Linked DNA regions of Ovis aries. The protein of the gene in region 2 purifies or fractionates together with the protein of the main gene of each other region. This does not show direct contact. Links are inferred from orthologs where the notes say so. Each region holds a gene or a part of one and is shown on either strand. Other genes may lie near its edges. The genes, in order: DNAJB6, BAG3 and PDLIM7.

The links.
Region 1: the proteins of BAG3 (region 2) and DNAJB6 purify together in Homo sapiens (co-immunoprecipitation; 3 studies listed by BioGRID and IntAct, with this or other methods). This does not show direct contact. The link is inferred for Ovis aries from reciprocal best matches to the Homo sapiens genes BAG3 and DNAJB6.
Region 3: the proteins of BAG3 (region 2) and PDLIM7 purify together in Homo sapiens (affinity purification with mass spectrometry; 3 studies listed by BioGRID and IntAct, counting the BioPlex papers as one, with this or other methods). This does not show direct contact. The link is inferred for Ovis aries from reciprocal best matches to the Homo sapiens genes BAG3 and PDLIM7.

What each region holds. Positions count from the first base shown.
Region 1 is NC_056057.1:120,238,306-120,241,814, forward strand, and holds part of DNAJB6 (dnaJ homolog subfamily B member 6), read left to right. Parts: intron 1-706; coding exon of another isoform or gene 707-807; exon of another isoform or gene 808-2,269; intron 2,270-2,705; coding exon 2,706-2,885; coding exon of another isoform or gene 2,886-2,968; exon of another isoform or gene 2,969-2,971; intron 2,972-3,509. UniProt on the Homo sapiens protein: Has a stimulatory effect on the ATPase activity of HSP70 in a dose-dependent and time-dependent manner and hence acts as a co-chaperone of HSP70. Plays an indispensable role in the organization of KRT8/KRT18 filaments.
Region 2 is NC_056075.1:39,287,724-39,291,908, reverse strand, and holds the start of BAG3 (BAG family molecular chaperone regulator 3), read right to left. Parts: upstream 2,857-4,185; 5' UTR 2,504-2,856; coding exon 2,318-2,503; intron 1-2,317. UniProt on the Homo sapiens protein: Co-chaperone and adapter protein that connects different classes of molecular chaperones including heat shock proteins 70 (HSP70s), e.g. HSPA1A/HSP70 or HSPA8/HSC70, and small heat shock proteins (sHSPs), e.g. HSPB8.
Region 3 is NC_056058.1:36,691,282-36,694,923, reverse strand, and holds part of PDLIM7 (PDZ and LIM domain protein 7), read left to right. Parts: intron 1-90; coding exon 91-127; intron 128-309; coding exon of another isoform or gene 310-406; exon of another isoform or gene 407-680; intron 681-1,059; coding exon 1,060-1,130; intron 1,131-1,275; coding exon 1,276-1,513; intron 1,514-2,909; coding exon 2,910-3,090; intron 3,091-3,642. UniProt on the Homo sapiens protein: May function as a scaffold on which the coordinated assembly of proteins can occur. May play a role as an adapter that, via its PDZ domain, localizes LIM-binding proteins to actin filaments of both skeletal muscle and nonmuscle tissues.

The DNA.
Region 1 (3,509 bases), on a different chromosome or scaffold from region 2:
CCCTCCGCCCTGCAGAGGACCCTCTCCTGGTGCCTGACACAGGCGGGATTTTAGGGGAACCTTGTGGGGTCAGCGACGTGATCACGCTGCTCCAGACCCAGGGCCTCGGGGCTCCTGGCGCTGCGGGGGGCCGGCTTGTGCGACGTGAAGAGCCCAGCCGTGCAGGTACCACTGCTTATCAGGGGCTCCCAGAGGCCACGCCCCCTCCGTCATCCCTGGACGATGCCCGGTTCAAAGACCCTGTGGCCTGGTGCTCGTTAGAGAGAGGGCTTCATGGCGGCAGGCAGGAGGCGGGAGGGTGCCAGGAGTCGGCTGTGAGCCAGGGCGGGTGCCGGGTCAGCACAGCACAGCACGGGCCCCTCGCCGAGCTGGGTGTGGCCCGGGGGTGTGGGAGGGGCCACCCCGCGTGAGAGTGCACGAGCTGCCCTTGGTTCCAGCCTCACGGGTGCGTGTGCGCCCTGGTCGGGGGTAGACGGCCGTCTGCATGCCGAGAGGACCCTGGGGCCCAGGAGGGTCCCCCCTTGGCCTACAGTGGGCCCCAGTCTTCGGGGGGATCGCCAGGCCCCGAGCCCCGAGCTCTGTGCTGTGTGCTTTTGTAAAATAAGAGCAGCTGTCGAACTTAAACATGTTTTTCATTTTATTTATATGCCACGGGGCACACGGGATCTTAGTTCCCTAACCAGGGACCGAACCCTCTCCCCCGCAGTGGAGTGGAAGCCTGGCGTCCTGTGTGCCCCACACGGCGGGCCTGGTGTCTCCAGAGAGCTTCGTGCCCAGACAGACGGCAGGTGCAGCCCCGAGGACTGAGGAGGTGCTGGGGCCGGGAGGGGCTCTGCGGCTCCCACGGGGCCCCTGTCTGTGCGCTCGCGCCCCTGGAGCCCTTCCAGAGCAGAGGGGCATCCCGCGCACAGCCTGGTGGGCTGGCCTCACCCTCACACGGACGCGCCGGGGGTTTCCCTGAGCGGGACGGGGCTGGGGGAGCCCCGCCTCTCCTGCACAGCTGATGGGCCCTGGGGTTCTGAGGTGACCCGAGGTGGGTACCGGCAGCAGGCTGACCCCCAGGATGCCCACCCTTCCACATCCAGGCCGTTGTGGGCACGTGGCTGCCCACAGTGAGCCTGTCTAGCACCTGGACACTTGGGCCCCACCTGGCGGCGCGGTGTCCCTGCAAAAGCACGTTGAAGCCCCCGGGAGTGGTCAGCCGGCTGCTTCCTGCCGGGTGGACGGGAGCCCAGTGTGGGCCTGAGGTTGACCCTCGGCGGCAGGGTTGGGCCGCCCACCCTCCCCACTTGCGTCCTGCGGATTGGAGGTCGCGTCACCGTCACGGTCATGTATTAGCTGTGGCTCTGGGGCCCCCTCCCCCGGAGTGTTCCGTGTATTTGGGGGTCATGCCTGTGTCTGTGTGCTGGACCCCACAACCCGTAGGCCCCTGGGAGCTCCCAGCCCTGCTCCGCCTCGCGCCCCTGCACTCACGCACTTTCCTCCCGCAGACGGTCGTGTCCCAGAGGCGCTCTGTTCACGCACACAGCCCGTGTCCCCGTGGTGCTGGTGACCCCTCGGGGGTGGTGAGGCAGCCCTGTGCAGGCGGGGGGCCGGGAGTAAGGGTCACAGCCCGGCTTGCTTCCTCAGCCAGCGCCCCTCGGGGTGGATGTCTGCTGTGAGAGTGGCCAGGGCCCCACGCTGACCACCAGGTACCCCTCCCTGCTGCCAGGCCTGCGTGTGTGTTGCTGGAGGGGACCATGAGGCTGGTGGCGGCCCGCCCCAGGGCGCCTGCCAGGCCTGCAGGGCGGGCAGAGGCTTCGCAGGGCGCGGCGCCCGCTCAGGAGCCCTGGAGGCGCAGGCCCCGGGTCTGGGCTCCCCAGAGTCAGCTGCGCCTGGAGGGTGAGCGCCTGTGCTCCTGGAGGAGGACTCCTTGGCCAGGGCAGGTGTGGGGTTTGGGGAGGAGGCGTGTCTGGAGAGGACAGAGGCGAGGCCCCGCGCCCCAGCACAGCACCGAGCCTGGGGCCTGGGGCCCGGTTACCAGGGCAGAGCAGGGCTTTCATCTCGGGAGCATAGCGGTCATCTTGTCCTCCCCAGGGGGCAGCGGGACTGGAGTGGGGTCTGCGGTGGGCGGGGCAGCTGAGGGGGCACTGGCGTGCATGACCCCATGCCCCCACCACCCGGGGTCCCCATTTCCCACGTTTCTGGGCTGCTGGCAGCGTGCCCTCGCGTAGGGCGCTGTGACTGCAGAGAAGGAAGCCGGAAGTCGCTCGGTGGTGGCTGCCACTTGTTTCTTTCTGGTGTTCCTGGTGTTCGCATCATATGCAGAACTTCCTCCCATTTTCGAAAAGACTGATAGAAACACAACCCCTGAGCGCGGAGGCACGGCCTCGGCCGTTTGTCTGGTGTGACAAGTGACCGAGTGTGCGGGTCCTCGGCTCAGAGCTCCAGCGGCGCTCCGGCCTGCGCGGGGGACGCGGGGAGTCTGCTGCCTCCATCGCGGCAGGGCCCACGGCCGGCCCTGCCCTCTCCCCGGGGCGATGCCCGTGCAGCACGGCCCCGCTGTTGCCCCGGGGCCAACGGGGGGCTTTCGGGATCCTTGAGCCCGGGGCCCGGCGAGGCCCAGCCTGGTCCCCCCTTTCTCTCCGCGAGGCTCAGCTCCGGCCCCGCAGGCGCGAGGACGCGGCCCCGGCCCGGCTCACGCGCGTCTCGCCCTCTGCTTTCAGGTGTGGCCGACGAGGACGCCTTCGCGGAGGAGTGCCTGCGACGAGGCCAGAGCGCGCTGCCCGCCCAGCCCGCCAGCTCCAGCGCCCGCTCGCTGCGGCCGCCGCGGCCCGCGCCCCCGCCCCGGCCGGCAGCGCACGCCGCGGGGGAGGACGAGGACGCGCCGGGCGCCTTCTGCGCAGGTGTGCACCGGGACCCCGCCCCCCGGCCGCCGCGGGGCTCCCGAGGACCGAGACGCCTCCTGTGCTGCTGCGTGCTGGCCTGACGGGTGGGTGGGGGCGGCCGTGCGCGGCCACATTAAACGGGCGCCAGGCTCCCAGCACCGCATGTGTGTGTTGACTTGGCAGAGCCTGCGGGCACAGCCTGCCCCCAGGAGCCCTCCGTCAGCCGCTTGACCCCGCTTCCCGCCCTCGTGCTGATCATGCGCGCGGCCTTGGGGCCCCCTGCCCCTGGGGGCCCTCTCGCTGGGTCCCGGGTGCCGACCTGGCCCCCCCCTCCTCCAGTGGAGGGCTCCTGCCCGGGATCACACGGGCCCTGTCCCGCCCTATTTCAGCTTCTTGACCCGCCGTTATCTTGGGGGGCCCATGGGGGTCTGTGAACTGCGGTCCTCATAGAAGGTTCTGTATCACGTCTGAGGGCACGGCTCTGTGCAGGCTGGACCTGGCTGAGTCTGGAGCCAGGCGTCGGGAATCGATAGTTGGGGTTGTTCCTCAGTTCTCAGCGATCACTTTGGTTCTCAGGGCCGGAAGTCGCCAGGCTGACCACAGCTGGCCACGAGGTGGAGGGACAGGTGGCCCCTCACCCGC
Region 2 (4,185 bases):
CTAACGAAGTGAATGTTAGTTTTCTCCTTATGTTCTAGTGCCACGTTGAGAAATCTCAATTAATTTGGTAAGCAGCTCTTTTTTTGAGTTGATCACATCCAGCCATCACCATCCAAGTAGTCACAAAAGTCAGAAGGGCAGAAAAACAATCAAGTACTCCAGCCTTCCCAGTTCACACTTAAATTTCATAGAAATTTAAGAAATTTAAGACTCTTCTACCTTCCTCTGAACAATAAACTGCCTCTTAAATAGGACTTTCCGGTGTAGGTCTCTCTTTGCTATTGGTCCTGGCTGAATGGCCTTTGGAAACACATGTGAACTCTCTGGGTTTCTTTCTCAGAAAAAGAGAGGCTGAGCTAAAAGATCTTAAACGATCTTTCAACTTTAAAATTCTGTTAAATTTTCAAATCAACTTTTATGGCATCAAACTTCTGATTTACTAGCTCTTATGTTCTACTTGTTGAGAAAAATAACAGTAACTTAACCTGTTCCCCCCGCCCCCTTGCCTTGAAAAAGTTTGTAAAACCACAGCCTAACCATCCATCATACATAAGATCTCAACCTGCTGGGTGAGTTTCACGTTGAAAACCAAGCGCCAACAATGTGGCATGTACACTGAACTCACAGTGGATACGTTCCTACTTGACCTACACTCACCACCACTGACGCCAGTGGATTCTGACTCTTCCTGTCTCTATAGGAAGGAAGCCTCAAAAAGACAGGTTGGTTTTTTTTTTGGCCTCAGTAAAGATCTACACCCTTGCAGTCTGCAGTAACAGAGCTGGTTTAAAATGAGCTTTAGTTTCACTCAATAATGGGCTGAACAGACAAGCGAAAGGAATACATGGTTATGTCGATCCCAGCTAATTACAGCCTCTTGAAATAATTTTCAGGAATAAATATACAATTAATTTCTCATAAGCATAAGCTGCTGATTATACAATATCTCACTGTTGGGCACCAGAGTTTCATAAATATTTTAAAGGAAAAAGCTGCATAAAACTGAAGATGGTTAACACAGATTTTTTTCTTCTAAAACAATGGTTTATAAAACATTTTTAATTCTGTGAATTTTTAAATCTTAAAAATAACTTACCAGCTCTTTATGTCTTCTATTTTGCCCAGACTATTTCTTTTTGCCAAGCTTTACGTTTTGAAAAAGCTCAAAGTTATAAAAATTACAAGAGCAGTACAATTAGTTATAATTTTTTAAATTAACAGACTCATTCCAAGTTTATATTTTCAAATTTTCATGGTTCTAAGGATTAAGTAGTATATACACCCCTGCGTATATGTAAATGAGGCATACTTCTAATACAAAAGTATTACTACTAAATTATTTGTGTATTGGGGATAAGAAAAAATCCTAAATATTTTAGTAGCATAACGAGAAAGGGAATGTGTTGATTTTTTTTTTTTTTTAATCTCTTTCTGACCAGGGTGAGGCAGTATCTAAGGCAATAGTCAACTAGGAGACAGTCTCACATCTTCAGTTTAGAAATTGCCTGGAAGATTGCATCTTATTTTTAACAAGTCATACTAGAATATATTCCTAGTGAGGACAACTTTCAAACAATAATAGAGTTTTAATTTCAAATACAGAAGGGAAAAAATAAAGAAAAGGAATGCATTTACATCAGTCTCCTGAGTCACTCTGTGCCTGAGGTGGGAGAGTGAACTCCAGATACCCTCAACCAAGTTTAGGAACTTGAGGATGTAAAATTCCTAAGAGACCCTAAAGGACCCCCACAGAAGCTTGCCAACGGTCCCCTGGCGTCTGCCAAAGCACGGTCAGCAGAGAGAAAGGAGGATCTGAGCCCTGGAAGCCGGGTGGAGACCGTGGCAGGGCCTGGCCCGGGCCTTGGTGCTGAGCAGGCCGGCCACCCGTCGTCTCCTGGCCCAGGGCCCCTCGAATGGAGCCGGTGGACGGGACCTGGTGCCACCGCGCGGGTCCCGCTTCCCGCCCGACCCCCGGAAACCAAACACGGCCAAGGGAGGGCAGTCCTCTTGGGAAGCTCCCCAAACTGGCCCAGACGCCGGCCAAGGGCGGGCCTGGAGAGTGGGCTCGTGGGGGGCGCAGCAGGCCGACCCCCCTGGGAGCTGGCGTCCTTCTGGGGATCCGTGCATTCCAGGCGGCCTTCACTGACCTCCGAGGCACCGGCTGCGGCCGGCGGGCACCTGGCGCCTTGCGTCCCCGCAGCCGGGCCCAGTCCAGCCGCCCCCGCCCGGCCCTGTCCCTAGACTGGCCGTCGATGGGGGGCTGGGGGGAAGGTGGAGGGGGAGCCACTGGCAAGGGTGCGGCGCGGGCCTTGCTCACCTTGGGGCCCTCGGGGGGCACGCGCGGGTCGTTCCACGTCGTGGTGCGGTTGTTGTGGTCCACGAAGAAAGGCCAGCCGGTCTGCGGGTCGATCTTGATCTCCCAGCCGGGGGGCAGGGGGTCGCGGTCGCTGGCGCCGTTGCCGGACGCCATCTGCACCATGGGCGAGTGGGTGGCTGCGCTCATGCTGGGTCGGGGTCGGCCCGGAGGGGCGGCCGCCGGGGTGCTGGGTTGCAGGGTGCCTGGTCGCGGGGTGCCGGGTCACGGGGTCGCGGGGTGCCGGACCTCCAGGTGTAGGGTCGCTCGCTGGCCGCTGCCGGAGCGGAAAGTCGGGAGCGCCGCCGACGTGTCCGGGAAGCCGGCGCCGGGCACCTTTATGAATTAAAGGAGGGGGTGACGTGGCCGGAGAGGGCTGGAAGTGTCTGGAAATAGCCTCCTCGCTGCCAAAGGGGAAGGAGGAGATAAAGGGAGGTAGCAACTGGCCGGCTAGAAACTTCTGGTCCCATCCAGAGAAGTTGGCGGCGACGCGGGTTGGATGCGGAGCTCCGCCCTGAGTCATCAGCTATAATCGGGGCGGGGCGGGGCGTGGGCGGGGCGTGGGCGGGGCCTCCGCCGGCCGCCCCTCCTCCACCCCGCCACCTCTTCCCCCTATTCGCGGCTCCCCGGGTCGGGGGCTCCTGGCGGAGTCTTCCCTGAGCTGGGCGAGGGGTTTGCATCCGCGGGATCCCTGTGTCGCCGAGCGGCAGGTCGAGCGAACCCCCGGGGACGTCATCTGTGTGTCCTGGGCCGGTTTCGGTTTTCAGATTTGCTTGGTCTTCTTCGAGCCGCGTGGGTGTTCCCGGGACTGGCTCCTTCGTGTAAAAACAAACTCATCGTTAGCCTTTTAAGTCGTTGGGGATTAAACTAGAGTCTCTCCCACCTCGCCTTTGTACCCCCAGATTACTGATACTCCGGGACATTGGTGACCCTCAGTTAATCACTTTTCCCCATGGGCTTAAGGGCCGTCCGGAAAGGGCTCTGGAATGTTGATCCGACACCAGAAGCAAGCCAGGGCGAATAATGGAAGTACAAATAGAAATTCACCTGCCTTTCTTTCGAATCCTAAAGAAAGATTGCATCAGCGCATGCATGTTGCTGAAGCACATGTCTTAAACGTAGACTCTGTCGTTGCAGTGAAGAACTTTAAAGAAAAAACATTCTTTGGGGTTTGGGGCTTGTTGATGGTGCAAGTTGGTTCTTGCTATCTTAATCTGACCTTCATTTGGAAAGTAGTGTAAATCATGCGTGCTCAGTCACCTCCGACTCTTAGCGACCCTGTGGAGCCTGCCAGGCACCTCTGTCCAGGGAATAATACAGGAGTGGGTTGCCATTTCCCTCTCCAGGGGATCTTCCCGACCTAGGGATCAAACCCATGTTTCTTGCACTGCAGGCGGATTCTTTACCCACTGAGCCACCTGGGAAGCCCTTTGAAAAGTAGGAAAGAATACAAATTATGAAAAAAAATTTGTGTAATGAAATGGTGGTTGCACTTGTAACCTCCACCAAGCACCTCATTTCCTCTGGGAGAGAGAGAGAAAGTATGCCCCCAGAGGTGGTATGTTGGGAGGTCTCATTTTAGATTTTTAGGCCTGCAGGATCATTCCCTTCCCCAGAAACATTTTTGAGAAGATGCCTTGGGCTAAGTAATATTGGGCCCAATATTCCAACTCAAATGCAGAGGACATTCTGGAACCCTCAGAAACACTTTTTTGGAGTCTCTTCCCACCCCCAAATTACTCCTTTTAGAGCAAATGCTGAAGAGAACTGCCAATCATTTTCAATGGAATGGGGGTCTCACTTACATAGGTCTACTTACCAGCTTTGAAGTA
Region 3 (3,642 bases), on a different chromosome or scaffold from region 2:
CTGGAGCCTGCTCCGGCACCCTCTACCAGGGCTCAGGGCTGGGGTGGCCTTCTGTCTGCTCTTGGTCAATGCCTGCCTCTGCCCTCTCAGTGCAAGACCCGGATGAGGAGCACCTGAAGAAATCAAGGTAACAGGTCAAGCTGCAGCCCCTCCTTCTCATCTCCGGCCTCTCCCATTCCAGCCCTGTCTGCTCCTGGCCATCCCTAGCCAGGTTCATCCGTTCTCCTTCCTTCCTCTGGTCCTCCCTCCCTGCCTCCCTTCCGTCTCTCCTTCCTTCCACTTCCTTCTCCTTCTCTCTCTACCCCTCAGGGAAAAGTATGTCCTGGAGCTGCAGAGCCCACGCTACACCCGCCTCCGGGACTGGCACCACCAGCGCTCTGCCCATGTGCTCAACGTGCAGTCGTAGCCTGGTCCTCACCAGCCGGCTGCCCTCTCTGCCTCTTTCTTGCTGTTCCTCCGCCCCAGGGCACCTCCCCTTGGCGCCTCCAGCTTCTGCCTGCCTCACCCATCCTTTTTCTGCCCCTGGACTGAGCCTCCTGCTGTCCTGGCCCCAGCTGCCCTCCTGGCACAGGGCCCGGCTCCATCTGACACCACTGCCTTTACTCTTTGCCCTGTGGTACTGCTGTCTGCCAGGTCTGTGCTGGCTTTTGGGGCATGAAAATAAACATTCTCAGCCCTGCTTTCTCTGCCTCTGTTCTCTTATCTTTGTGGACTTGGTTTGCATTTGGGGTCAGGGGTGTTAGATGGTTCAGATCCAGTGTGGGCCCTGCCAGTATGGGTCTCAGTGGGTGGGGGTACTCAGCAAAGGGCCCCCTGCCATCAGAAGGACCCTCGCGAGCGGCCCCAGAAGTGAGAGCCCTGCTTCACCTCCCAGCCCTGTGCGACAGACCAGCCAGCTGGAACCTGGCCAGGAGAAATTGCCCTACCCATCCCTGCCCTGGGGGGACCTGGAGTCCTCTGCTGTCATGCACCCAGGCATCTCTCATGGGGCCAGCAGGACCAAGTTTGGGGGGTGGGGCCATGCCAGGAGCCTCGGCCGTGCAGGGCCTTGAATGACAGATCTTACAGCCAGGTGCCCAGGACGGAAGCCCCAACCCCAGCCTCAGCTACACCCCAGGAACCCTGGCCTGGTGAGAGAGCGTGGGCTTGATGGGGAAGGGCGGGTAACCTCCAGAGGCATGGGGGTCGGGCCCCTCCAAGCTGCCCCAGGCTCTCCCCACTGTCCTGTGGTGTCCCTGGGCACCCCCATGGAGCCACTTTTCCTGGCCTTGGCAGGCCCTACCACCCCCAGTCCCACGAGCCGCCCACCCTGGGCTGTGGACCCTGCATTTGCTGAGCGCTATGCCCCGGACAAGACCAGCACGGTGCTGACCCGGCACACCCAGCCAGCCACACCCACGCCTATGCAGAACCGCACCTCCATCGTGCAGGCCGCCGCTGGAGGGGGCCATGGCGGGGGCGGGGGCAGCAACGGCAAGACTCCCGTGTGCCACCAGTGCCACAAGGTCATCCGGTGGGTGGCCCCGTTCCTTCCTACCCTGGTCTTTTCCTGAACTGGAACTCCAGCCCTTTCTGACCACTGCTCCTCCCATCTGTCTCCCTACTCATCTCAGCTGCCCCCTGCTCAGCCTCTCTTCAACATTTGGCCTGGCAAAATGGAGGGGTTGCCAACGACATAGCCAAGCTGCAGCCCTAGACTCGCTGCTCTCTGGGCCAGGAATGGCCTCCCTGCTCCCAGCCCCTCTGCCTTTCTCCTTCCTGCTCACTTGGTTTCTCTCTGCTAAGCCTCTCAAGTTCCTCCCTCTCTGCGCTGCTCCCCAGGGCCCAGCAGAGTCCCACAGCCCCCAGAATCGGATCTGTGTCAGGCCCCAGAACCTTCCTAGTTCTCATACGAGGCACTGCCCTGCTGTCAACTCCTGTCAGCTCTTAAGCTCTGGAAAGCACCCCCTCGTTCAGACATCCCCATTTATCTGGGATGGCCGGGTCCCTCTCCAGCATGGATGGAACAGGCCAGCGGAACAGAGTGGGCACCAGGCTCAGCTCAAGTACCCACTGGTCTTCAGGGCTCGCAGGTACTCCAGGCCTGCTGTCCCCCAGGACACCAACCCCTTGGGTTCAACTTATTAGGCTCAAGTCAGCAGTCTTCACCCAGTGTCACCTTCCTCCCTTTCCTGACACTACCCTTCTCCCTCACCTCCTGTCATCAAAACAGTGCAGCTTTTTAAAATATTTATTTGGGTGCCTCTGATCTTAGTTGCAGCACGTGGAACCTTAGTCGCAATGCACGTGCTCTCTAATTGTGGCACATGAGCTCAGTCGCCCGGAGGCATGTGGGATGTTAGTTCCTCAACTAGGGATTGAACCCGTGTCCCCTGTCTTGGGAGGCAAATTGTTAACCATTGCACCACCAGGGAAGTCCCACAATAGTCAGCTTTGTCTTGCTGTTTGATCTTAGGCAAGTCACCTTTCAAGCCTGTCTGTTCCCTCTTTGGAGAAGGCAGTGGCACTCCACTCCAGTACTCTTGCCTGGAAAATCCCATGGATGGAGGAGCCTGGTAGGCTGCAGTCCATGGGGTCACTACGAGTTGGACATAACTGAGCAACTTCACTTTCACTTTTCACTTTCATGCATTGGAGAAGAAAATGGCAACCCACTCCAGTGTTCTTGCCTGGAGAATTCCAGGGATGGGGGAGACTGGTGGGCTGCTGTCTATGGGGTCGCACAGAGTCGGACACGACTGAAGCGACTTAGCAGCAGCAGCAGCAGCTTCCCTGTTTGGAGATGAAGAGAATGAATGTTCCCTTCAAGGTTTCATAATGGGTGTGGGGTAAACCCTGTGGGGTGCTGGCCAGGAACCCCGACTTCATTTGCACCCACTCCCACTCATTGCCCTCTCTTTCGCCTGCAGGGGCCGCTACCTGGTGGCGCTGGGCCACGCGTACCACCCTGAGGAGTTTGTGTGCAGCCAGTGTGGGAAGGTTCTGGAAGAGGGTGGCTTCTTCGAGGAGAAGGGGGCCATCTTCTGCCCACCCTGCTACGATGTGCGCTATGCACCCAGTTGTGCCAAGTGCAAGAAGAAAATCACCGGCGTGAGTGGGGCTGGCAGCTGGCGGGGGTGCTGGGAGGGCAAGCCTGACTCTTCAGCGTTGAGGAGTGTTGAGCAGCTCCTGGGCTGGGGGGCTCTCCCTGCAGGACCCTGTTGGAACCTTACCAGCCTCATAATTGGGCTACTATATTGACCTTACTTTACATTAGCCAGGATTGTCTTTACAGGTGACTTAAATCCTAACTCTAAAGGGCTCAAGCAGGAGAGATTTGGCGCCAGTAGTCAGAAAGGCTGAGGGCTGCTAACTTCTGGCCCAGCTGAATGCAGATCCAGGTCGTCAGGAGTCTTGCACTTGCCTCTGGTTTCATCTGTGTTGGCTTTGTTCCCAGCTTGCATTTCCATAGAAAGCGGCAAGATGCTGCTACATCAGTGGCTCCAGGGTTGCATCTCCCAGGTTAGCACTGCAGAGAAAGAGAGCACCCCTGTGCCAGCTGATGCATCGAGTCCCAGTGCTGATGCTCGTTGGCCTGGCTTGCTTCACATGCCCATCTCTGAATCAAGCCCTGTGACTCTAGTTGGCCAGGCCTGGGTGACA